Ovis aries: one gene and its partners. The protein of the gene in region 4 purifies or fractionates together with the protein of the main gene of each other region. This does not show direct contact. Links are inferred from orthologs where the notes say so. Each region holds a gene or a part of one and is shown on either strand. Other genes may lie near its edges.

Region 1 (4,029 bases), on a different chromosome or scaffold from region 4:
GAGATGGTCATGAGAAGATTCAGTGTGATAATTTGCATAGGCATTTGGCACAGTGCCCTAAACACAAGAAGCTCAGTAAACGTGAGTCTTCTCCTCCAATTTAGTCTCATAAGCAGAAAATACTATTATAGTCTTTATTACTGACACCTTTCAGGGAAGACCTTTAACTAGGGTTGGCATCTGAAGGGAGAAGGTTAGGTGGCACTGAAGAGAGTTATATGATGGCCTATTATATGGCTTGGCTCCTAACACTGGCAAGGAGCCCTCGCATCTCACAACACTTTCTTCGTTCATGAGCTCAACTCACCCCCATAACTAGAGGTAGTCTGGGAAGGCGTTATCATTCCTGTTTTACACATGGGTGAGCGACTTCACTTTCACTTTTCACTTTCATGCATTGGAGAAGGAAATGACAACCCACTCCAGTGTTCTTGCCTGGAGAGTCCCATGGACGGGGGAGCCTGGTGGGCTGCTGTCTATGGGGTCGCACAGAGTTGGACATGACTAAAGCGACTTAGCAGCAGCAGCAGCAGCAGCAGCAACCTCAAATTTGAGACACTGACTTCCTCAAGGTCATACAGTGGTAATGGTCCACATGTGCCTGGAACTGAGGTCTTCCTGACTCAAAAGGTTGGGGTCCTTTCCATTGCACCACAGTACAGACTAATTAGTGATGTGCCAGGCATTGCACCAAACCCTTTGCAAGGATTAACCTTTTATCTTAAATTGGGATTATCATTGCCATTTACAGAGAAGTAGAAATTAAGGATGGGGTGGGTATTAAATGACTTGTCAGAGATCACCCAGATTGAAGAGGCACAGCTAGGATTAGCTTGTAGTTCTCCATTCGTTCAGTAGCAGGTAAAATTCCTGCAGTAAAGACGCTGGCTGGTGACCGAGCTGGTTTATAAACATTGCTCGATTCAGGTAAACAGTTTCAGAGGAGGGGGAAAAAAAAGAAAAAAAATTATGTGCCGCGCCTGCGCGCTAGCCACGGAGGCGGGGAGGTCAACGCGAGGGCGAGTGTACGCGGATGCCAGAGAGGGCGTGTTTGCTTCCCAAACACCCACTTGTCCCCACGATGCATGTCTGTCCCAAGGTTGGCCCGTCCGACTTGAGTGGTGGCATCTCTTAACCAATCACCGCGGAACTCGGCCTGTTGCCAGGGTGAGGCGGCGCCCGCCTCTCCACCGGATGTGAATTTGTAGGTGGGTGGAACCGGAATTGACGCTTCAAGGGCTAGCTAAGCTCTGGGAGTGTTGATATTTTTGCAGTCAGTCCGGCTGACTTCGGCCAACTTAAAAGCCTGGAAGGGAGGCGACTTTAAACTTGTGCGTGGGCAAGCCACGCTATTCTGTCGCAGTGCCCGCGCCTGCGAGCCAGAGCCTCGGGGAAAGAAGAGCCGGACGGAACCAGTGAAGGGAAAGGCAAGGAACAAGGGTGCCGACTTTGACTGAAATCTGAGACGGAGGGCAGGGGAGGGCGACGTCCGCTTCTGATTGGCCCGTGGTCATCATCGAACACCCACGCAACCGCTTCGATTGGTTGGTGCTCGCAATTGTTGTGGCGGCGGCGAAGATTTTGCCCACGTACTTCCGAACAAGAGGCGGGGCTGTGCCCCGGCGCGCCTGCGCAACGTTCCAGGCCCCACCCGGTAGTTCAAGAACCTGCGAGGGGGCGGGGCGAAGAGGTGCTTGTTTTGGTTCTGTTTCCTTTGAAGCCGTAGGCCGGAACGAGCGTAGCAATAAAGTTGTTGGACTTGGAGAGGCTACGACAAGCTCGCCGCGGTGCCTTAATCTTGGACTTCACATCCGGGTTCTCCTGCCGCGTGACCCGCGTTCCGCCGACGGTTCGAGAACCGGTGCAGCGAGCTCTTTATCCGGGTCCCGGCGATCCCGTCGTCCTTCGCGCACCACTGTAGCCCCCCCCACCCCATCCGGGTCCTCTCCCAGCGTCCCCCGCGGCGGGTTTGCTGGGGGCTACTCGGCGGTGCCGCCATGACTATTCTCCCCAAAAAGAAGCCGCCGCCTCCCGACGGCGACCCCGCCAACGAGCCGCCGCCGCCCGGACCGCTGCCCCCGGCGCCTCGCCGCGGCGGGGGTGTAGGCGTGGGCGGCGGCGGCACGGGTGTGGGCGGCGGCGACCGCGACCGTGACTCGGGCGTCGTGGGGGCCCGTCCCCGGGCTTCGCCACCGCCTCAAGGCCCTCTTCCAGGGCCACCGGGTGCGCTTCACCGCTGGGCGCTGGCCGTGCCGCCTGGCGCCGTGGCGGGTCCTCGGCCACAGCAGGCCTCTCCACCTCCTTGCGGGGGCCCCGGAGGTCCCGGCGGCGGTCCTGGTGATGCGTTGGGTACAGCAGCGACGGGCGTGGGCGCGGCGGGTGTGGTGGTGGGCGTGGGCGGTGCCGTGGGTGTGGGCGGCTGCTGCTCAGGGCCGGGTCACAGCAAGCGGCGGCGTCAGGCCCCCGGGGTTGGTGCGGTTGGCGGGGGCAGTCCTGAGCGTGAGGAGGTCGGCGCAGGTTACAACAGTGAGGATGAATATGAAGCGGCTGCAGCGCGTATAGAGGCCATGGACCCCGCCACCGTCGAGCAGGTATGGGCATTGGGATGGGGGAGGTGAGTGAGTGTGGTGGACGGGATCCCTAGACTGGCTAGGAACCCAAGGAAGGCTGTTTGAGCCTGCTCCAAGGGGCCTATGTCTTTTCTCTTGAGTCTGGCACTCTTCCCTGGTGATGGGGTTGCGATATACTCTCCCACCCCGCCCCCCCCCCCCCCCCCAGGGATTTGGGATTAGCGGCCCCAGATAAGATGGAGGATTTAAAGATGGAGTCTGTGGTCTCTTCTAGGACCCATAGTTGATTGTGGGCCCTGGGGCCTCATCGTGTAGGGCCAGTAGGTAGGCACTCCCCAGGAGAGACAGGCAAGGAGAGTCTCGTGACTCTCCAAAGGACCTTGGTTTGTGTTTGGTGACTTGAAATTTCTTTTCCCCTGGAATGAGATTCTTAAGATTCCTCCTCCTGGGAATACAAGTAAGGTGGCTACCTCAGAGATACGAGTGTCCCCAGGATACCTAAATCCTTTTCAGGGGTCTGAGACACTATATAGGACAACCCTTTCTCCTCCTCAGGGGGATACAGCACAGGACCATGCAGCAGTGGAGTCTGAGACTCCCTTTTCTAGAAGTCAGGGACCTCACACACACACACACACACACACACACACACACACATACATATTCTCCTATGATCTCTTTCCACTTGAGTACTAGGATCAAAACCAACACCCTGGGACCAAAAACTCTACTAGGGTACATGAGATTCATCCCTTTCTAAGTGACAGGGGTCTGTGCTTTCTCTAAGGGATCTGAGACCTCCTTGGAGACAAGAGTCTGAATCTTTCTCTAGGAGCTTAAGCTTTTTTTAAGGGCTGGACACGCCTCCCCCAAGCTTAAACCTTTCTTCAAGAAAATGAGACTCACTGTTTTGTATACTGGAGCCTAGGATTCCCCCTGCTTATAGACTGGGCTTTTAGGTCTGAAGCCCTCTTCAGGAAATTGATATCCTCCTCAAAGGTCTCTAGGGGACTTTACTACTCAGGGACTGGTCTGAGTATTCTCTTTGGGCATCTGAGACCCACTGTGCCAAGGATTCTTGCGCTTTCCCTCAAGGATAAGAGATGCATACATACCTCACTAACTGGCATGTCTCTAGAGATGAGGTCCACGCTTCCCCCTCAAGGAACTTAAGGCACTCCTTGGGAGCAGGAGGTCTCCCAGGACCAGAATTGAGCCCTGAGACCTTTCCCTTGGGGCATGGATAGAGTCCCTCTGGAATAGGGTTCTGCATCTCCCATCATGAGTTTGACTTTGCCTCGGGTTCATGAGAGACACCTCCCCCACCTTAGGACCTGATTAACTGAACCTACCCTGAAAGAACTGTCCCCTCACTTAAAACAGCATATGTGTACCCTAGTCTTAAGAGGCCTTTTGCGGTCATAAAATTTCCTGCCTTGGGGACTTGAGCCTAAGCCCA
Region 2 (3,500 bases), on a different chromosome or scaffold from region 4:
GCACCTGAAGAAATCAAGGTAACAGGTCAAGCTGCAGCCCCTCCTTCTCATCTCCGGCCTCTCCCATTCCAGCCCTGTCTGCTCCTGGCCATCCCTAGCCAGGTTCATCCGTTCTCCTTCCTTCCTCTGGTCCTCCCTCCCTGCCTCCCTTCCGTCTCTCCTTCCTTCCACTTCCTTCTCCTTCTCTCTCTACCCCTCAGGGAAAAGTATGTCCTGGAGCTGCAGAGCCCACGCTACACCCGCCTCCGGGACTGGCACCACCAGCGCTCTGCCCATGTGCTCAACGTGCAGTCGTAGCCTGGTCCTCACCAGCCGGCTGCCCTCTCTGCCTCTTTCTTGCTGTTCCTCCGCCCCAGGGCACCTCCCCTTGGCGCCTCCAGCTTCTGCCTGCCTCACCCATCCTTTTTCTGCCCCTGGACTGAGCCTCCTGCTGTCCTGGCCCCAGCTGCCCTCCTGGCACAGGGCCCGGCTCCATCTGACACCACTGCCTTTACTCTTTGCCCTGTGGTACTGCTGTCTGCCAGGTCTGTGCTGGCTTTTGGGGCATGAAAATAAACATTCTCAGCCCTGCTTTCTCTGCCTCTGTTCTCTTATCTTTGTGGACTTGGTTTGCATTTGGGGTCAGGGGTGTTAGATGGTTCAGATCCAGTGTGGGCCCTGCCAGTATGGGTCTCAGTGGGTGGGGGTACTCAGCAAAGGGCCCCCTGCCATCAGAAGGACCCTCGCGAGCGGCCCCAGAAGTGAGAGCCCTGCTTCACCTCCCAGCCCTGTGCGACAGACCAGCCAGCTGGAACCTGGCCAGGAGAAATTGCCCTACCCATCCCTGCCCTGGGGGGACCTGGAGTCCTCTGCTGTCATGCACCCAGGCATCTCTCATGGGGCCAGCAGGACCAAGTTTGGGGGGTGGGGCCATGCCAGGAGCCTCGGCCGTGCAGGGCCTTGAATGACAGATCTTACAGCCAGGTGCCCAGGACGGAAGCCCCAACCCCAGCCTCAGCTACACCCCAGGAACCCTGGCCTGGTGAGAGAGCGTGGGCTTGATGGGGAAGGGCGGGTAACCTCCAGAGGCATGGGGGTCGGGCCCCTCCAAGCTGCCCCAGGCTCTCCCCACTGTCCTGTGGTGTCCCTGGGCACCCCCATGGAGCCACTTTTCCTGGCCTTGGCAGGCCCTACCACCCCCAGTCCCACGAGCCGCCCACCCTGGGCTGTGGACCCTGCATTTGCTGAGCGCTATGCCCCGGACAAGACCAGCACGGTGCTGACCCGGCACACCCAGCCAGCCACACCCACGCCTATGCAGAACCGCACCTCCATCGTGCAGGCCGCCGCTGGAGGGGGCCATGGCGGGGGCGGGGGCAGCAACGGCAAGACTCCCGTGTGCCACCAGTGCCACAAGGTCATCCGGTGGGTGGCCCCGTTCCTTCCTACCCTGGTCTTTTCCTGAACTGGAACTCCAGCCCTTTCTGACCACTGCTCCTCCCATCTGTCTCCCTACTCATCTCAGCTGCCCCCTGCTCAGCCTCTCTTCAACATTTGGCCTGGCAAAATGGAGGGGTTGCCAACGACATAGCCAAGCTGCAGCCCTAGACTCGCTGCTCTCTGGGCCAGGAATGGCCTCCCTGCTCCCAGCCCCTCTGCCTTTCTCCTTCCTGCTCACTTGGTTTCTCTCTGCTAAGCCTCTCAAGTTCCTCCCTCTCTGCGCTGCTCCCCAGGGCCCAGCAGAGTCCCACAGCCCCCAGAATCGGATCTGTGTCAGGCCCCAGAACCTTCCTAGTTCTCATACGAGGCACTGCCCTGCTGTCAACTCCTGTCAGCTCTTAAGCTCTGGAAAGCACCCCCTCGTTCAGACATCCCCATTTATCTGGGATGGCCGGGTCCCTCTCCAGCATGGATGGAACAGGCCAGCGGAACAGAGTGGGCACCAGGCTCAGCTCAAGTACCCACTGGTCTTCAGGGCTCGCAGGTACTCCAGGCCTGCTGTCCCCCAGGACACCAACCCCTTGGGTTCAACTTATTAGGCTCAAGTCAGCAGTCTTCACCCAGTGTCACCTTCCTCCCTTTCCTGACACTACCCTTCTCCCTCACCTCCTGTCATCAAAACAGTGCAGCTTTTTAAAATATTTATTTGGGTGCCTCTGATCTTAGTTGCAGCACGTGGAACCTTAGTCGCAATGCACGTGCTCTCTAATTGTGGCACATGAGCTCAGTCGCCCGGAGGCATGTGGGATGTTAGTTCCTCAACTAGGGATTGAACCCGTGTCCCCTGTCTTGGGAGGCAAATTGTTAACCATTGCACCACCAGGGAAGTCCCACAATAGTCAGCTTTGTCTTGCTGTTTGATCTTAGGCAAGTCACCTTTCAAGCCTGTCTGTTCCCTCTTTGGAGAAGGCAGTGGCACTCCACTCCAGTACTCTTGCCTGGAAAATCCCATGGATGGAGGAGCCTGGTAGGCTGCAGTCCATGGGGTCACTACGAGTTGGACATAACTGAGCAACTTCACTTTCACTTTTCACTTTCATGCATTGGAGAAGAAAATGGCAACCCACTCCAGTGTTCTTGCCTGGAGAATTCCAGGGATGGGGGAGACTGGTGGGCTGCTGTCTATGGGGTCGCACAGAGTCGGACACGACTGAAGCGACTTAGCAGCAGCAGCAGCAGCTTCCCTGTTTGGAGATGAAGAGAATGAATGTTCCCTTCAAGGTTTCATAATGGGTGTGGGGTAAACCCTGTGGGGTGCTGGCCAGGAACCCCGACTTCATTTGCACCCACTCCCACTCATTGCCCTCTCTTTCGCCTGCAGGGGCCGCTACCTGGTGGCGCTGGGCCACGCGTACCACCCTGAGGAGTTTGTGTGCAGCCAGTGTGGGAAGGTTCTGGAAGAGGGTGGCTTCTTCGAGGAGAAGGGGGCCATCTTCTGCCCACCCTGCTACGATGTGCGCTATGCACCCAGTTGTGCCAAGTGCAAGAAGAAAATCACCGGCGTGAGTGGGGCTGGCAGCTGGCGGGGGTGCTGGGAGGGCAAGCCTGACTCTTCAGCGTTGAGGAGTGTTGAGCAGCTCCTGGGCTGGGGGGCTCTCCCTGCAGGACCCTGTTGGAACCTTACCAGCCTCATAATTGGGCTACTATATTGACCTTACTTTACATTAGCCAGGATTGTCTTTACAGGTGACTTAAATCCTAACTCTAAAGGGCTCAAGCAGGAGAGATTTGGCGCCAGTAGTCAGAAAGGCTGAGGGCTGCTAACTTCTGGCCCAGCTGAATGCAGATCCAGGTCGTCAGGAGTCTTGCACTTGCCTCTGGTTTCATCTGTGTTGGCTTTGTTCCCAGCTTGCATTTCCATAGAAAGCGGCAAGATGCTGCTACATCAGTGGCTCCAGGGTTGCATCTCCCAGGTTAGCACTGCAGAGAAAGAGAGCACCCCTGTGCCAGCTGATGCATCGAGTCCCAGTGCTGATGCTCGTTGGCCTGGCTTGCTTCACATGCCCATCTCTGAATCAAGC
Region 3 (4,160 bases), on a different chromosome or scaffold from region 4:
CTTACTGTATGTTTAACAAGTTTTGTTTCATTCATTCTGTTTATTTTCCTCTACAGAATGGAATATTCTCAAACAGAGCATATTCCATTATAATCATGTTTTAGATGAATAAAACAAAATGCATAGAATTGAAAAAGAAACCAGGTATATACAGTTCTACATTAAATAACGAGACCCAAGGCGATGGCACCCCACTCCAATACTCTTGCCTGGAGAATCCCAGGGACGGGGGAGCCTGGTGGGCTGCTGTCTGTGGGGTCGCACAGAGTCGGACACGACTGAAGTGACTTAGTAGGGTGGGAGGTCTTTCAGTGACTGAAATTTAAGCACTGATGTGCTTAATACTGAGTTCTCCCTGTTGACTAAAAAAAGATGTACAACTTGAGAGTTGTGAGTTAAGTTTTATTTGGGGAAAAATGGGGACTGCAGCCTGGGAGGCAGGATCTCAGATATCTCTGAGAGACTGCTCCAAAGCAGCAGTGGGGGGAAAAAGTCAATATATAAGATTTTGGTGAAGGGGGAGTTCACTGCGATGAAACACTCATTTTACAAAAGGTTTTTGTTAGTCATGAGGATCTGATGTCACCATAAAGGGATTTAGTGCTTCTCTAGATGTGAGGAGATGCAAGGACTGAGATCATAAAATCTGTTCCTAAACACATCCAACTATCTAAAGACCTGTCCCATCAGATTCCCTGGAGCACAGAGTGCCTCACTCCACCCTGAACTCCCTCAGGGTTGTTGAAGGTCAACAGCTTTAGCAGCATGGGGTTCAATCTCTGTAGAGGCAGACGGCAAATGCCTTTGTTGTCATTGGCAATGCTCTTGGTAAGTGCCAATTTGTACCCAGCAACTGTAAAGTGACATGAAAGTGCTGTGATAACGATTGATGAGACTCCCGAAATTTGTATCCATGCATTAAAATTCAGATGAAGGCGATGCTAGACTTCAGTTAGTATTCGGTCCCAGTGGTCCGCGGACTGTAGTCAAGCCCAGGCGAGGGCCTGCCCAGGTCCTTCGGCTGCCAAAGGACTTTCCCCAGCCAGTCCAGATCTGGCCGCCCTCAGGGGAGAGGGGACACATGCATTAAGAAGCGACAAGGGTGGAATCAGCTGTGAGGACACTTAAGCCTTCCTGGGGACAAACAGTTAAAGGAGACAAATGGTGAAAGGACTGGCACCCCGTCCTTCCCAGAGCTGCAGGCGAGGGGTCTGCCCCGCCTCTTGCCTCCAGCATCCCGGAGGATGGTCGCGCAGCCGCGGGCGCCGGGGAACTACCGCCCCCACCCGCGGCCGGTAGGGGGCGAGCGCGCGCCGGCGGCCCCGCCCCTGCGCACGGGCGCCGGGGCGTGCCAGCCGCCAGGCATCAGCAATCTATCCGGAGCGGCGGGTGGCCTGCGCGGCGTGTTCGGAGGCGGTGGCGGCGGTTCAAGGCGCCTGGCCGCCTGCGGGTAGCGGATCGGTGGGTGAGGTGGCAGTAGCAGCAGCGGGTCTCCAGATCGCGGCGTCGGGCTCCCGGAGCTGTAAGCGGCAGGAGAATGGCGGAGTCTTCAGACAAGCTCTATCGGGTCGAGTACGCCAAGAGCGGGCGCGCGTCTTGCAAGAAATGCAAAGAGAGCATCCCCAAGGACTCGATCCGGATGGCCTTCATGGTGCAGGTGCGGGCGGAGGGGGCGCTTTGTGCGCGGCCGGGCCTTCGCGCGTCCGAGGAGGGTGGGGGGAGGGCCGGCCCGGAGCCGTGGGCCTGGCCGACCGCTCCCAGCCAGCGCGGGGCCTGCGGGCACAGCTGCTATCGCGGGACAAGCCCGCCGGGTGGACCCTTCTTCCGTCAGGTTTTGCTGATCTTGCAGGAAAAGCCCGGGAAATACGGTCTGAAGCCGGTGGGGCCTTTTACTTTGTGAAAATAGGGAGCCGCTTCTAGCCTTAGTTCTGGGTTTATTACCATACGCTTCGGGAAGGAAACTGACTCGTGGTTTTTTGAAGCTAGTCTGGTTTTGACCTACCTTGTTTTTTGAAGCTAAGTCTGGTTTTGACCTACCTTGTCCTACATTGACGGTGGCGACTGGCAAGTGACGATTTGGATTTTTTTTTTTAATCGGTTTTTGGCTATCATTTCAACACCCACTCACTCTTTTTTTTTTAATTAATTATGCAAAACTATGTAAGTCGATGTCATTTCAGTACAGTGCGTTCACTTTTGTCTTACGTTATGGTTTAACATTTTCCCCCAAACTTTCCCAGTTCACAGAACGTCGTCTCTGTAGCTATCCGGTTTGAGTAAGAGTGGTTCCTAGTGATTCTCATCTGGGCTTATTAATAGATTCAAGATTCCCTCCAGTGGTCCCTGAGGCTTCCGAGCAGGCCAGGAGGGGTGTTGGAGTGAGGTGGTGTGTCTGAAGACCCCTCCCAGGCAGAGAGATTCCTGCCACTTCCAGCTTCCCAAAGCTCCCGTCTGTTTGTGTAATTCTAGTTCCCACCCTTCCTGTCCTCCCCACCCTAAGGTAAAGCTGTTGTCCAAGCTTAGTGCTCATGGTCAAGATAGCTTGATTTTCCCTCCACCGGTGAGGCAGTAGGTATTTTAGGAATGACTAGGTGGTATTGCTGCATTCGCAGTAGTTAGGTGGTGTAGGGGAATGGGTATCAGTGTGTACTTGGGCTATCTCATTTCATAATATTGTTACCAAATCCCAGCTCAATCTGCTTACTGCCCGACAGGCTAATTGAAGCAAGGAATACTAACTTTATTATTTGGGAAGTCAACTGACTGAGAAAATGGCAGACTGTTGTCTTAAAATCAGCTGTCTTGTTGGGGTCTGGATGCCAGCTTCTTTTATAGGACACAAAGGGGAAGGAGGTGAGAAAGGAAAGATCATGTTCTTGCAAATCTCTCCTGAAATGGCCAACCATAGGGAGGGGAAAGAAAGAAACTGAAGTTGCTTGGTCGTGTCCAACTCTGCAACCCCATGGACTGTAGCCTGCTGGGCTCCTCCATCCATGGGATTTTCCAGGGGTTGCCATTTCCTTCTCCAGGGGGTCTTCCTGACCCAGGGATCGAACCCAGGTCCCCGGCACTGCAGGCAGATTCTTTACCATCTGAGCCACCAGGGAAGCCCTTAGAGAGGGGATGTATGTGTTAATCACTTAAGGCAGAGGGGCAGGGTGCCCGGAGGCAGGTTATTATATATGATTATAATAACGAGCAATGAAAAATAAAGGTTAAAGTCCAATAAACAGATCCTGATCCATCTGGGAGTTCTCAGGTGGCACTAGTGGTAAAGAACCTGTCTGCCAATGCAGGAGACCTGAGAGATGCAGGTTTGATCCCTGGGTCAGGAAGATCCCCTGAAGAAGGAAACGGGAACCCACTCCAGTATTCTTGCCTGGGAAATTACATGGACAGAGGAACCTGACAGGCTCCAACAATATGACAGGGGTTGGCATCGTCATCTTAGTATCATTCTCAGGACCACCTAGCTCACTACCCAACACTTATCGCTTAGTAAACACTCACTGAATACCGGTTAGGTTCTAGGCGTTAAGTACCAGGGGCACAAGGACAGACTCCATTTCTGGGAGCTCCCAATTTGGTTAAAGGGGTGATGACTGGTAAACATTGCTGTGCTGGGGTGGGTGCCACCTGATGGAGCTGTGCCCATGGCATGGTGGGTGCCAAATTGGAGCTCACCACAGAAGTGGCAGAAAGTTGAGGATGGAGGAGTAGACGAGGCCTCCTGTTTGAGAAGCCTTATCTCCCCCAGAGCGTCTTTTCATTTCATCCTAACGTTTGGGTGGCTGGCTGATCTCGTGAACTCCCCATTAATACAGGGGCTCTTAACCTGGAGTCTGTGGGATGGCACATAGAATTCAAGAGGTCCATGAGTTTCAATGAGAAAAGATTCCTGTCTTCCCTGGACTTCGGTTACAATTCATTACTTTCTACAGTTACGAATGGAAGCCCCAAAGCAAAGGCACATTAACAGTAACTGCAGTTTTTGTCATCAGTAGTAGTTATTTTCATATCATTTACAGTTGTTGGGGATTTTTTTAAATAATCATTTATACTCATCTCAACAAGATCGTGGGCTTCCCTGGTGGCTCAGATGGTAAAGAATCCACCTGCAGTGCAGGAAACCTGGGTTCGATCCCTGGGTTGGGAAGATC
Region 4 (2,635 bases):
CCAGCTTAAGTGATGCGGGCCTCAGGTTGGCAGATTGGAAAGGTTAGGTGGTGGCCTTACATCCTTTATTGGAAGAGTTGCAGGAGCTTGAAAACCTCCCCCACAGGAGTGGTGCTCCTGTGGCTTACCCTTTGACCTGGACTTGGCAGCTGTCAGAGGGCATGAGCTGGCTGGGCAGTGAAAAGGCTCTCCAGCTCGCTGGCCCGTCAGCTTGCCGCTTCTGGGAGCGTTTGGCGGGGCTTCTGTGCTGGTGTGCATCCAGCCCGTGGCGTCGGTGTCCCTGGGAATCCACACCACCCTCTCCTCATCTGGATCTTAAGTCATCCGTACGAGTCACCTCAAACCCATCTCATTCATAACACCTTTCCTTATTCCTCTCTCCCCCGTTTCTCCCTTCTCTCTAAACTTTTATAACAATTAATGGTTTATGTTAGTTTTTCTGAAAGCCTAGTCCATGGAAGTGTTCATGAATGTTAACGTCATCATGGGCAAAAAAGGTTTCTTGGCCAGGTAAGTTTGGGAGACCAGTAAGCAAAGAAAGCTAGGAAGACTTACTTTTCCAAGGACTTCTGGGAGGCGTGGTTTTACTATTGTGAATGTGAATCTCCTGAGAGTGGGATAGAGTTTCATGCAGCCTTTTTATTTTATTCTGTTCCCCAGTGTGTACTTGCGAGAAAGACAGGCATACCCATGCATCTTTGTTTTCCCTTACTGTGGCGGTGCACGCCTGGAGCAGTCGGGTACTGACGCTGTTGAGTCACACCTGCGCTCGCTCTCTCTCGCTGTATATAATGTTTCGACGAAAAGTACTGATACAGTTGTGTCCTATCTGTCCTCTCTCTCTTGAGTATATAATGTTTCAGCGAATTTCTTCCCAGGACCCTCTTCAGTGCTGACCACGCAGGAATAAGCAGTCAGACTTGTTCAGTATCTGAACACATGAAGCTGAAGGAGACTTGGCATTGTTACTTTGCTCTCTGTAGGTTGTTTGGCCTAAAGTAAACTGTGGGCATCAGTGGAGGAAGTCCATCAGGAATGCGTTTCTTTCCCTACGTGTGTCACGATGTCAGCTTTTCAAAGGGACCTGTTTTCTTTCTGTCTCTCTCTGGTCCATCTAGGTGACACTATCAACCAAAGCACCCTGCCCTCCCAGCAGAACCGTTTCCCAGACTATCTTGAAGCCATTCCTGGGACAAACGTGGACCTCGGAACCCTGGAGGGAGATGGGATGAACATAGAAGGGGAGGAGCTGATGCCGAGCCTGCAAGAAGCGTTGAGCTCCGACATCCTCAACGACATGGAGTCTGTTTTGGCCGCCACCAAGCTAGATAAAGAAAGCTTTCTTACATGGTTATAGAGCCCTCAGGTAGACTGAATTCTAAATCTGTGAAGGATCTAAGGAGATAAGACCTATACCTGAAATTTCCAGTTAAGCCAGGGGCAGTCTTCTGGCTAATACAGAAAAAGATGAACAAACGTCCAGCAGGATTCTTTCATCCACTATTTTGCTCTTCTTGTCCATTGCTGCTGTTAATATATTGCTGACCTCTTCCATAGTTGGCTCTAAGGAATCAAAAACAAACTTTTGTTTCTTTTGCTATTATAACTACTGTTTGTTTTGGGGGCTGGGGAAAGTGAGCCTGTTTGGATGATGGATGCCATTCCTTTTGCCCAGTTAGATGTTCACCAATCGTTTTAACTAAATACTCAGACTTGGAAGTCAAATGCTTCATGTCACAGCATTTAGTTTGTTCAAGCAACTGTTCTTCAGCTGCCTTTGGCCAGTGGGAAAACATGACTTACTGGTCTAACAAGCCAAAAATGTTGTATCTGATGTTTAGTACTTAGACTGATTTGAAGAGCTAGCTGAAACCAAGGCTGAAGACTGTTTTACTTTCAGTGGGTTTTTTTTCCTCCTAGTGCTATCATTAGTCACATAGTGACCTTGATTTTATTTTAGGAGCTTCTAAGGCTTGAGATAATTTCCATAGAAATATATTAATTATTGCCACATACTCTAGTATAGATTTTGGTGGGTTTTATTGTGGGGTTTTTGTTTGTTTTTCTTTTTTTTTTTTTGGTCTTCATCGGAATTTTTATTGTCTTAGGGGTTTTGTTTTGTTTTTTTCTTTTTTCCTCAGAATCTAAGGCAAATTACCATTGTAGTGCATCTGTTTATACTTGTAGCTCGGGACAGCTATTATAGTTCCTTTGGTAAATCTACATGTCCTGGGTTTTTTTACCATCTTATTTAAATCTTGGTAATCAGCTCTCTTTATATATACCCACACACACTTAATAATGTTTATAATAGTGTGATAGCAGAATGTATCTTTTTTTTTTTAGTTTTCCCTACTTTCCAATTTATTTTAAAATGGTAGCTATGAATGTATGCATTTAGAATACAAGACTAGTAGTTTATATTTCACAAATAGTTTAAATCCGGTTGGGGTAGTGTGCAGTTGGTGGTGGTTTAGTGTTCTAGAAAGGGCTGTTCTTATGGATAGTGCCTCCAGGAGTCTTGTATGCCCTCTGGGCACACAGTGGATATTATCTGCTGAATTTGAAAGAAGTAAACAAGAAATGGCTTTATTATCCCCTTTAGCTTTGGAAGAGTACCTTTGCCTTAGTTTTG
Region 5 (3,500 bases), about 51 Mb from region 4:
TACATTCCCACCCTCCATACATGAACCCCCCCACACACAAGTTCATACTCTTAGGCTTTTTTTTCCTCTGTGTTCTTATATTTCTAGTTAGCCATTGAGGAATAAATCCTAAATGCTGCACTGTTACAGAGGCATTTAGAGAAAATTATCTATCAGTGTGTGTTTGTTTAACTCTAGATATTTGTAGAGCAATTGAATTGTTGGAAAAACTGCAAAGAAGTGGAGAGGTACCACCACAGAAACTTCAGGCTCTACAAAGAGTCCTTCAGAGTGAATTCTGCAATGCTGTAAGAGAGGTAAGTAAATGTGATTAAAATTGACTATGAACTTGCGTTATTTAGGGTAAGATAACATTCTGAAATTTGGGTTTGTAGTTTCTTAAAGTTAACTTTAGAACCCACTCCTCTCATTTTTGGAATTTCTAACAGAAAAACATGGTACAAAGATGCATAACTTTTTCTGAAATTTTGACACATTTGTTAACTTTAAAAAGAACTCAAGCTTGTTATATTTTGAGATTTAAAATCACAGTGATAACTTTGGGTTTTGCAGGTATATGAACATGTCTACGAGACTGTGGACATCAGTAGCAGTCCTGAAGTGAGAGCTAATGCAACTGCAAAGGTACATTTTTTTCATTTACTGAAAGTGAGAGGATTCATCACAAATTAGAGGTTTAAAATGTGACGTTATTAGTTTCATAATAGACTTATTTTAAAAACTAACAAATAGTACCTTTCAAGTTACACTAAACTCGATTACTGAAAAGTAGGATTTTTTAATTGGCTTTACAAACACATTTTATGCAGTCTGCTGCTACTGCTAAGTCGCTTCAGTCGTGTCTGACTCAGTGCGACCCCATAGACGGCAGCCCACCAGGCTCCCCTGTCCCTGGGGTTCTCCAGGGAAGAACAGTGGAGTGGGTTGCCATTTCCTTCTCCAGTGCATGAAAGTGAAAAGTGAAAGTGAAGTCGCTCAGTCGTGTCTGACTCTTAGCGACTCCATGGACTGCAGCCCACCAGGCTCCTCTGTCCATGGGATTTTCCAGGCAAGAGCACTGGAGTGGGTTGCCATTGCCTTCTCTGTTATGCAATCTAGATGATACATTAAAATATATTTGCACACAAATAATACATATATATAATATGTGGTTGCTGTAGGTAATATATATATCATTATTTAAATATTCATCAAAATTCTGAGGTATGGATTATTAGTCTCATTTTATTGGTGAGGAAGCATCAAATTAGATTACTTGCTTTAGATCACACAAATAGTAAATGGTAGATCTGAGGTACTCCCCTATGTTGCCATTCACTTTCTCCTTAACCTTAACTCTTCAAATAGGAGGTTAACTCCTCAGAGCTACAGGTGGCAGCTTTTATGTGTTTTTCTGTACCAGTGTTTTCCTCAAATCAAGCATTGATCTCTGTCCATCATATGTGGTGGTGGTGGTTCAGTCATTAAGTTGTGTCTGACTCTTTACAACCCCATGGACTACAGCATACCAGGCTTCTCTGTCCTCCTTTATCTCCTGGAGTTTACTCAGATTCATGTCCTTTGAGTGGAGTTTACTCAGATTCATGTCCTTTGAAGCGATGATGCTTTCTAGCCATCTCATCATATGTGGGTTGGAATAAGTTTCTGTCAGTAGCAGGTGACTCATACTGAAACTAGTCATTAGCAGGTAACTATTCATTGATGGTTAACTGGTTCACAAAAGGCAACATTGGATTCTCTGTTGAGTCTTGTGGGTATTGTTTGACAGAGTGGGAAAGAACAATTAAAAATCGCCAGTCTATGTCTGACGCAGGATGCAGCATGCTTGGGGCTGGTGCATGGGGATGACCCAGAGAGATGTTATGGGGAGGGAGGTGGGAGGGGGGTTCATGTTTGGGAACGCATGTAAGAATTAAAGATACTAAAATTTAAAAAATGAAAAAAACAAAAAACAAAAAAACCCTTGGGTTTAATTCCTGACTTTCACAGCCTCCTGAACTTGTGAGCCTTTGTTCCATTATCTCTAAAATGAAGCCTGTTTAAGAGTTTAGAGTATTCAGCAAATCTTGATTTTCTCTCTTTCTTCCCATGTTTCTCATATACCCTGATTTAATACACAAAGAAATAGTACCAGATTACATTTAAAAGCAAAATGAAACCCGAGTTCTCAACTTTGTGTTAGAATTCCTCTGAATTAGTCTAAACTTGAAAGATGTGGCTCTGTATGGGTTAATATACAGAGCAAATAGTACAGCAGCCAGAATGACTGCATAAAAGGACACCTGCCTACGTTTAGGTTACGCACATGGGTTGTGCCGCCCCAAATGCCCCACAGTTGGTGGCATGTGAGGAGAGGGGCTTCTCCTTGTTAGTGTGCACAGCGTTCATCTTCCTGGCAAGGCCTGCTTGCCAAGCACTGCACAGAAGTTCTGGGCACAGGAAGGACCAGGAGTGACCTGAACTACCTCAGCACTTTCTGCATAATCCCAGAGTAAGCTTTCCAGTCATCCTCTTAAAAACACCATCTACTTAGCTTACCTTCACTGTCAGTGAATTTATGGACATTCAGACATCAAAAATACTTCAAAAATGGTTTTTAATTTGATACTGATTTCTAATTATCAGTATCACTGATTCCACAGTGATAAGAGAACACACTCTTATGATTTCAGTACCTTTAGACCATGAAATTATTCTATTTTGTTTTATGTCCCTGGATATGTTTCAGTTGTCTACTGGTTTATAGTCTATGGGAACTTGAGTAGAATTTGTATTATGCAATTGTGTGAAAATTGTATAAATCTTATGTTGAATCCATTCATAGTGCTTTTCAGGTCTACTATCTCCTTCTTTTCTATCATTGTATTAATTTTTGAGAGTTTGATATTGAAACTCCAACTGAAAATCTACTTAAAAATGCAGTGGGACTGTATGTAACTTGGTTCTGTATTTTTCAAATCTGCTGTAAGTTATGAGGTTACCATACCCTCATAATTTAAAAAAAGAAGAAAAAGTGGTTTTTAAAAAGGGACAAAAGAGTGAAGTATTTTTTTAAATACGTGTAAAATTTTCTTTCAGGCTACCGTTGCTGCATTTGCTGCCAGCGAAGGGCATTCTCATCCTCGAGTTGTTGAGCTACCAAAAACAGAAGAAGGCCTTGGATTCAATATTATGGGAGGCAAAGAACAGAACTCTCCAATCTACATCTCTCGAATAATTCCAGGTGGAATTGCTGATAGACATGGGGGCCTCAAGCGAGGAGATCAGCTCCTTTCTGTTAATGGAGTGGTAGGGATGCATTTTATTTCTGCTTGACCACTTGGGGGTGTATTTGAGTTATAGAAACAGTCGTGCCTGACTCTGACTCCATGGCCTGTAGCCTGCCACACTCCTCTGTCCATGGGGATTCTCCAGGCAAGAATACTGGAGTGGGTGGCCATGCCCTCCTCCAGGGGATCTTCCCAACCCAGAGATTGAACTCAGGTCTCCTGCATTGCAGG
Region 6 (4,049 bases), on a different chromosome or scaffold from region 4:
AAGGCAGAGATTTGAATGTTCACAAGCTGAACACACTCGTGTAACCAACACCCAGATGAAGAAACGCACCAGCAGCTCAAAAACTCCGCTTCCCCCTCCAAGCCACTACTTCCTGCACCAGGGGTAAAAGTGACTACTAACGTAGTTTGCCTGATTTGAATTTTCTATAAATGAAATTACAGAGCATATACTTGAGACCTATGAAACAACTGGCCTGTATTTTTAAATGTCAGTAATATGAAGGACAAGGGTAGGTTTATTACAGATTTTAAAAGACCAGACATAACTAAATGCAGGTTGTAACCCTTCACAAGATCATAGGCCCGGAAGGCTTTTTTCATTTGCTGGGAATAACATAAATGGAACAATTGCTAATAGTTAAATAAGGAGTGCAAATTAATAAATTACGTGGGAATTCCCTGGTGATCCAATGGTGAGGATTCTGGGCTTTCACTCTAGGTCAAGAGTCTGGACCCTTGGTCTGAGAACTAGGATCCTGCAAGGCTTGAGGCACAGCCAAAATCATACATATATACATACATGTGTATATATAAGTGTGTGTGTATATACATATGCATACACATGTATATGTGACTATTATACAGATATATGACTATTATTAACTTACTGAATTTGAGTATTGTACTGATTATGTAAAGTCATGCCCTTGTTTCTAGGAAACATCACATTTAAGTGTAAAGGAACATCATGTCTGCAGTTTCCTCGCAAATGGATCAAAAAAATTATTAAGCAATAGGAAAATGTTAACATTTGGGAACTCGAAGTGAAAACGGGAATTACTTATACTTGTTTTGTAACTTTTCTGTAAAGTTTGAATTCTTTTAAGAAGAAAGGTTAATAAAATTAATGGGGTCACTTACGGAGAGAAAAAAATTGTACTAAGACATCAGCAACATTTAGACGAGTAGTGAAGAAAAGATGGAAGAATGTTAAAAGATGAAGTCAAAAGGACTGCAAACAGTCACAAAAGAAAGCACAGTTTCTGTGCCCTTCTGCACCTTGAAGTCTTAAGAGACAGCTGCTCACGCGCGGTGTCGACTAAGCCAAGCCCACGAAACCCAACCGCGAAAGCATAGCAGAGCTCCAGCAGACTCCGCCATGTTTTCCCGGTGAGCATGTGTGCGCATACGTGCGTACGTCCCAACCAATCGGTGCCCACGTCGGCGACCCTTTCACTACCGGGGCGGGGCGGCCTTCTACACAGGCGCAGGGTTGGGCGGGCCTTCTTCCTTCTCGCCGAACGCCGCCAACATGGTGAGTATCGCCGGCGCGGGCTCCATGTCTGACCGCTATGCCGCTCCAGCTTTGCCTGGGCTGGGGGTTGGAGGCGAGCAGCGGCGCTCAGTGGATCTTAGGTATAGTGCAGTGAGGTTCCCCGGGTGGGCAAGACACAGGAGTTGGGAGCTTTCAGGATGCGCGTCCGCGGAGCGCGTGGAGGGCCCGGCAGGCCGGGCGCTCGCTGGGCCACGCGTGCGCGCTCTGGCCGCCTCCGCTGTCTCGTTGCGGCGGCCGGTCGCCTAGCCCGCCCGCCGGGGCCGAAGCAGGACAGGGCATGGTGGTCTGGCCGTGCTGGCTTCTTAGACGGGGAGGCCAGCGGGAGACTGACTTGCTACCGTTTCCTCTGTGGATTTCGTCCATCCTGGTTGTTCCATGGCACTTCGGCGTGTTCTCCTCAACATTCTTTTTTCCTGTTTTTAGCCGCACTATGTTTAAATTGCAAAGACTGGCAAACTGGATCGTATTTTTAATCAGTCTCGCTGTTCTCTCCCCCCGCCTCCCAATTTTAGGTGTTCAGGCGCTTCGTAGAGGTTGGCCGGGTGGCCTACGTCTCCTTTGGGCCTCATGCCGGGAAGCTGGTCGCGATTGTAGATGTTATTGATCAGAACAGGGTAAGTGTAAGGAAAAGTGTCACGGCTTTACGTGGCAGTGTAGACGACAATGGTAATGGTTTCAGCGGCCCTCTTAAGATAGGAGTACTATGGGTGGTAGTTTTACTTAAACAGCCACCGCAAATAGGGGTTACATAGCAGAGGCTTGAATTGACCTGTTACTACTGGGTTTGAGTAATACTTCTAACTAGGCAGTTTTAAACTAAAGGTGGGCTAAAACATGGGCGAGATGTAAATCATTTATTATGTTCAAAGCGAGTTTGGAACAAAGCCATAGAAAGCCTTTTCTTTCACATAGAAAGCCCTTGTTTCCTATTGTCACTATTTGAGCACCACAAACTAAGGGATTGAGCAGATAGTTTTTGGGAAATGGAAGTATTAAAGACAAAACTATGTGTTGGGTTCTATGCTTAACTATCACTGCTAACTCTTTTTAACCTTTAAGAAAGCATTTAAATATAAGAATTTGATGATTCTGAAAAGACTAATATTATGTAGGATATCTGCATTTTGAATGCTGTTACATTTTTATACTGAGATCCTTGATCTTATGTCTTCTAGGCTTTGGTGGATGGACCTTGCACTCAAGTAAGGAGACAAGCTATGCCTTTCAAATGCATGCAGCTCACTGACTTCATCCTCAAGTTCCCACACAGGTCACTATCAAACTATCACCCTTCCCATAGTTTTGTTAATACTAGTAAAAGTTTGCTTAATTTCATTTAAAAATGTTGTTGGTTATTTCGTTTTTCTCTTAAGAATATAGTAAGCAGTGTGAAAGTGAGAGCCATTTAGAAGAGAAAGTTGCATTGTAAAAGTAGACAGACATTTACTTCTAAAATGCCCTGGGATCCGGTGGTTCTCTGGCTTTCCCTTTGTCCAGATTTCCCATTCTTTTTCTCTTGTACCCCTTTCTTTCAGGATTTGCACAACAAAGAACTTTCTGTATGTGTAGTTTCCTGAACATGTGTTAATCAATTTTAGCTTTAGAACAAAAAAAATACTATCATTAGTTGAACTTTTCATATGTGTCAGCTAATATTTAACATAACATCTCTCCTTATGACAGCCACCAGAGAGGTTCTCTTCCTGGCTATTCATGAGCAATTAAGGCAACCATTCTGTGATTCTTGGCATGATGTAGGTTACAGAAGTTAAAAACTGATGTTGCTGTGTGGTGACAATTGTTTGCAATGTAACCTGTGCTATGACTGGTTTACTTTCTAAGCATACTGGATTTTGATGTTTGAAACAAATACCAAAGTGGTTACAATTCCATTTTATGGCATTTGAACGCAAATCTTCAGGCATTACTGTACAGAATGAAACAAGGCACAAGGGACAACTACGTTATGGCTCAGACGGTAAAGCGTCTGTCTACAATGCGGGAGACCTGGGTTTGATCCCTGGGTCAGGAAGATGCCCTGGAGAAGGAAATGGCAACCCACTCCAGTACTATTGCCTGGAAAATCCCATGGACAGAGGAGCCAGTTAGGCTACAGTCCATGAGGTCGCAAAGAGTCGGACACTACTGAGCAACTTCACTTCACTTCATGTTATTCTTTATGAAAACGAAATTGCTTTCTGCTGCTGCTGCTGCTAAGTCGCTTCAGTTGTGTCCAACTCTGTGCGACCCCAGAGATGGATGGCAGCCCACCAGGCTCCTCCGTCCCTGGGATTCTCCAGGCAAGAACACTGGAGTGGGTTGCCATTTCCTTCTCCAGTGAAAGTGAAGTTGTTCAGTCATGTCTGACTCTTCGCAACCCCATGGACTGCAGCCTACCAGGCTTCTCCGCTCATGGGATTTTCCAGGCAAGAGTACTGGAGTGGGTTGCCATTGCCTTCTCCAATTGCTTTCTACTCATCCACTATTTGGGTGATATATGCACATTATTGGAGGTGATTTTTAAGCCCAGAAAGTGGAGTGGTTCACATATTTTTTTTTTTTAATTGTGTTTTGAGGATGTAAGACATCTTGGCTTAGTGGACACTGTTGGAACAAGTAGAACATTGTGCCTCGTGCTGTTTTCTGTGGAGACACTACAACTGGCAGTAGAAAAAACAAGGGTTCTTGTGGCATTTTTCTTGTGCTTTTTTAACTTGTGCTTTTTCAGAGGATGAAAAGCTGTCCTTGAATCT
Region 7 (3,500 bases), on a different chromosome or scaffold from region 4:
CTCTGTGACTGGTTTAAAGGTAAGTTTGTTATATTACTGGTAGATTTTGCCAGGCTCTCCCAACAGAGTAGAAGTGATTTGGCCTTGTAGCTTAATGGTGGTATTACCTTAAACATTCCAGTTTTGAAAAAGATGGAACTGGAATTTAGTACAACTCCTGTCGGTATGTTGGTTAAAATATGAAAGAGGCAGGAGTTTGAATGGTTGAATGGGATTCCCTTAGGATTTTACAGCTGATGCTTTCTCTGCATGTCCCAAGCATCATTAATCCTCTTTTACTCTGTTGGGATGAGTCTTTTTTGTTCCTGTTCAGAGTGGTTACTAACTTAGTCTTCTCTCCTCTTGCTGTCATCTGCATTCGTGCTTCCCACCTGTTGTTGGCATGTCCTTTACCTTCTCTTTCCCTGCCACATCAACCTACACACTGACTCATCGTTGGCTTTGAAGATGTGGAAGATGTCAAGTTTGTGATCAACTATGACTATCCAAACAGCTCAGAGGATTATGTGCACCGTATTGGCCGAACAGCCCGTAGCACCAACAAGGGCACTGCCTACACCTTCTTTACCCCAGGGAACCTAAAGCAGGCCCGAGAGTTGATCAAAGTGCTAGAAGAGGCTAATCAGGCTATCAATCCAAAATTGATGCAGCTGGTGGACCACAGAGGAGGCGGCGGAGGAGGGGGTAAGGGTAAGTCCTGGAGTTTTCCAGGTACTGCCAAGGTATCTTTTTTTGTGTTCATTGTGCCTTGTTTGTTAATCCAGTGGAGGTTAATGTTAACGTTGCTTAATAGTTCATAATCTCTTTTGAGTAAGACAGAGGTCTGAGCGACTGTCATAGCCTTAGGTAGTATGTTGTAGTATGTTAAGTTTTGAGTTATCCATATGGAGAAATCAGTAATGTTACATGGGCAAAGGTACTGCATCTGAATTGGACAGTTGTGAAATATACTAGCTAGGGTCTGTGTTTCATGCCCTTTCCCTCAGCTTAATATATGTTGAAGCTCTACATCAAGATTCCCTTAGAAGTTTTTAAAAGTACAGACTTTTTTAAGTGGGCTTGGAATTGAACTAGGAACCTGAACTTTTCAAAACCCTAAAGCTTGAGAGATTACTCTGATGCAGTAAATGTCTGGAAAGTAACATTTGAGAACCAGTGTGCACTAGTAGAGGATTCCTTTGTTGTCATATGAACCTAGCTGCTTGGGGCTTTTTTGTTTTTAAATCATCCTTACCATTTTCCCTACATTTTTAAGAGTGTGTTTCTTGGTAATCCTCAAAAAAAAAGGCAAAAGATGAAAAGTTGACTATCCTTTAATGTTTACCATTCTTTGAAGGTATCTTCTTAAAGAATCAAATTATATTTTTAAAGTAGTTATTTGGAAGCTGACTTAGCTAAAGATCAAGAAAGAACTGTATCTAGTAACATTTTTACATGTGGTTGTGTTTGGATCATATATCTGGCGTTGAAAATTCTTGTGTCTTCATCAGGCGGCCGTTCTCGATACCGGACCACTTCTTCAGCCAACAATCCCAATTTGATGTATCAGGATGAGTGTGACCGGAGGCTTCGAGGAGTCAAAGATGGTGGCCGGAGAGACTCTGCAAGCTATCGGGATCGTGGTGAAACCGATAGAGCCGGTTATGCTAACGGCAGTGGCTATGGAAGTCCAAATTCTGCCTTTGGAGCACAAGCAGGCCAATACACCTATGGTCAAGGCACCTATGGGGCAGCTGCTTATGGCACCAGTGGTTACACAGCCCAAGAATATGGCGCTGGCACTTACGGGGCCAGTAGCACCACCTCAACTGGGAGAAGTTCACAGAGCTCTAGCCAGCAGTTTAGTGGGATAGGCCGGTCTGGGCAGCAGCCACAGCCACTGATGTCACAGCAGTTTGCACAGCCTCCAGGAGCTACTAATATGATAGGTTACATGGGGCAGACTGCCTACCAGTACCCACCCCCTCCTCCTCCTCCCCCTCCTTCACGGAAATGAAGCCACTCAAGTGGTAGTGACTTGTGCAGACTTAACTACATTTAAAGGAACGCTATCTTTTCCTATTTTTCTCTTCCCTTTTTCTTTCTCTTTTATAACTTTTTCCCCCAACCATTGTGATTTGTCTTTAATGCAGATTAGTTAGGATTCACTGCCAGGTTTCTTCTGCCTGCCAAAATGATCCAGTCTGTAATAACAGATTTTGTAAAAGTATATATATGTATGTATAGCCGACTGGAAGAGGTTTTCCCCCCAACTTCTTGCATGTTGAGGATATTTGAGCTATTTTTCATCTTAAAAGAAAAAGTAAGGTATTAGGCCCTTTTGTGGGAGCCCCCCCCCTTTTTTTTTTTGGTCCTGAGTTTGGGTGGGGGTGGAGGGTTGAACTCTGCAGAAGATGGCACCTGTGCTTTAAATTGCTCTCGTACTGGGATAGAAAACCGAGAGGGAGTTCCCTACACATTTTCTGTATTTTTTTTTCCTTTGGTCTTTTTCAAGCTGGAACAAGGTTCCTTAGGCCTGATGAGTTTTTAAGACCACGCTTTGCCATTGTCATTTTGGCTGATTGCTTAAGTGCATTTGATAGTTTAAAGAAAAATCCTAATTGGCTTTGTCTCCTTTACATTCTGCCTTCCCCCTTCCCAAGTACTGAAACAACTTTCTAATTGTCAGGTTAGAAATTAAATTGCTGAGATAAGAGGTTTTTTTAAAGTGTATCCTTAAAAACCCAAATGTTTATTGCAGTGGTTAAATGCAGTGTCTCAGCATCTGGGTGGGAGCTGCCTGTTTTTCTTCCCCATGACCAGGGACCATCTGAAATACATCCTCCTAACCAGACAGCTGCTGTGAGCAGAATGAACATAGATGCTCACTGGAAATTTATTAACCAGTTAAATATGCATTCACCTGCAGTGTAAGAACTACGTTTAAATAAATGATATAGTCAGTGGGCAAATTTTTTCTTTTTAAACCCAGTATTTGTAGAGGTAGAGTAACAGCAACCCTATTGGCTACTCAGCCCTTTTGGCCAAGTTATCTTGAAGGTCTAAAGGGTTTATTGAGAAAGAACTCTTCTGTCTTCACACTGTTCTCTTCAGTGCTTTGTAACAGCTTTTGGATGCAAATTTTCCTCAGCATCCTTTCTCACTCAGCTTTTTACAGGTAGGTAGTGCTTAAGAAAAGTTAGAGGACTAAAGCCCAAGTCCTTTTACTTTACCTCCACCTGAAAGGTAGGTGAGATTGTCCCTTTTGTAGTAATACCAACTGTTTTACTGAGACTCCTATAGCAGATGGGCCTGGAAAGAAATTTCTGTTCTTGTGTTCTCTGTAAAGAGGACAAGGAAATCAGACAGCCTCAGAAATCCCTTCATGTCCAGTGTGGGACTGTTAATTTTTTATTGGTGTTATCAGTATTGATGGTGTAGTTAAGGGGGAAGGCTTCATTGCATTCTTTGGCTTAGGCCTGAGAGTGCTTACTAGTTTGTAAGATCAAAATATCTAAATC

Evidence for each region.
Region 1: the proteins of YAP1 (region 4) and OTUD5 purify together in Homo sapiens (affinity purification with western blotting; 3 studies listed by BioGRID). This does not show direct contact. The link is inferred for Ovis aries from reciprocal best matches to the Homo sapiens genes YAP1 and OTUD5.
Region 2: the proteins of YAP1 (region 4) and PDLIM7 purify together in Homo sapiens (affinity purification with mass spectrometry; 3 studies listed by BioGRID and IntAct, with this or other methods). This does not show direct contact. The link is inferred for Ovis aries from reciprocal best matches to the Homo sapiens genes YAP1 and PDLIM7.
Region 3: the proteins of YAP1 (region 4) and PARP1 purify together in Homo sapiens (affinity purification with mass spectrometry, with the first as the bait; 3 studies listed by BioGRID). This does not show direct contact. The link is inferred for Ovis aries from reciprocal best matches to the Homo sapiens genes YAP1 and PARP1.
Region 5: the proteins of YAP1 (region 4) and LIN7C purify together in Homo sapiens (affinity purification with mass spectrometry; 5 studies listed by BioGRID and IntAct, with this or other methods). This does not show direct contact. The link is inferred for Ovis aries from reciprocal best matches to the Homo sapiens genes YAP1 and LIN7C.
Region 6: the proteins of YAP1 (region 4) and RPL14 purify together in Homo sapiens (affinity purification with mass spectrometry, with the first as the bait; 3 studies listed by BioGRID). This does not show direct contact. The link is inferred for Ovis aries from reciprocal best matches to the Homo sapiens genes YAP1 and RPL14.
Region 7: the proteins of YAP1 (region 4) and DDX17 purify together in Homo sapiens (affinity purification with mass spectrometry; 3 studies listed by BioGRID and IntAct, with this or other methods). This does not show direct contact. The link is inferred for Ovis aries from reciprocal best matches to the Homo sapiens genes YAP1 and DDX17.

Annotation. Positions count from the first base shown.
Region 1 is NC_056080.1:56,126,274-56,130,302, forward strand, and holds the start of OTUD5 (OTU domain-containing protein 5), read left to right. Parts: upstream 1-1,229; 5' UTR 1,230-1,997; coding exon 1,998-2,591; intron 2,592-4,029. UniProt on the Homo sapiens protein: Deubiquitinating enzyme that functions as a negative regulator of the innate immune system. Has peptidase activity towards 'Lys-48'- and 'Lys-63'-linked polyubiquitin chains. Can also cleave 'Lys-11'-linked ubiquitin chains (in vitro).
Region 2 is NC_056058.1:36,691,315-36,694,814, reverse strand, and holds part of PDLIM7 (PDZ and LIM domain protein 7), read left to right. Parts: coding exon 1-18; intron 19-200; coding exon of another isoform or gene 201-297; exon of another isoform or gene 298-571; intron 572-950; coding exon 951-1,021; intron 1,022-1,166; coding exon 1,167-1,404; intron 1,405-2,800; coding exon 2,801-2,981; intron 2,982-3,500. UniProt on the Homo sapiens protein: May function as a scaffold on which the coordinated assembly of proteins can occur. May play a role as an adapter that, via its PDZ domain, localizes LIM-binding proteins to actin filaments of both skeletal muscle and nonmuscle tissues.
Region 3 is NC_056065.1:28,697,306-28,701,465, reverse strand, and holds the start of PARP1 (poly [ADP-ribose] polymerase 1), read left to right. Parts: upstream 1-1,360; 5' UTR 1,361-1,537; coding exon 1,538-1,657; intron 1,658-4,160. UniProt on the Homo sapiens protein: Poly-ADP-ribosyltransferase that mediates poly-ADP-ribosylation of proteins and plays a key role in DNA repair.
Region 4 is NC_056068.1:6,197,526-6,200,160, reverse strand, and holds part of YAP1 (transcriptional coactivator YAP1), read left to right. Parts: intron 1-1,118; coding exon 1,119-1,357; 3' UTR 1,358-2,635. UniProt on the Homo sapiens protein: Transcriptional regulator with dual roles as a coactivator and corepressor. Critical downstream regulatory target in the Hippo signaling pathway, crucial for organ size control and tumor suppression by restricting proliferation and promoting apoptosis.
Region 5 is NC_056068.1:56,971,575-56,975,074, reverse strand, and holds part of LIN7C (protein lin-7 homolog C), read left to right. Parts: intron 1-177; coding exon 178-296; intron 297-552; coding exon 553-624; intron 625-3,078; coding exon 3,079-3,288; intron 3,289-3,500. UniProt on the Homo sapiens protein: Plays a role in establishing and maintaining the asymmetric distribution of channels and receptors at the plasma membrane of polarized cells.
Region 6 is NC_056072.1:13,302,206-13,306,254, forward strand, and holds the start of RPL14 (large ribosomal subunit protein eL14), read left to right. Parts: upstream 1-1,249; 5' UTR 1,250-1,272; coding exon 1,273-1,275; intron 1,276-1,808; coding exon 1,809-1,910; intron 1,911-2,471; coding exon 2,472-2,566; intron 2,567-4,049.
Region 7 is NC_056056.1:215,991,139-215,994,638, reverse strand, and holds part of DDX17 (probable ATP-dependent RNA helicase DDX17), read left to right. Parts: intron 1-447; coding exon 448-690; intron 691-1,490; coding exon 1,491-1,996; 3' UTR 1,997-3,500. UniProt on the Homo sapiens protein: As an RNA helicase, unwinds RNA and alters RNA structures through ATP binding and hydrolysis.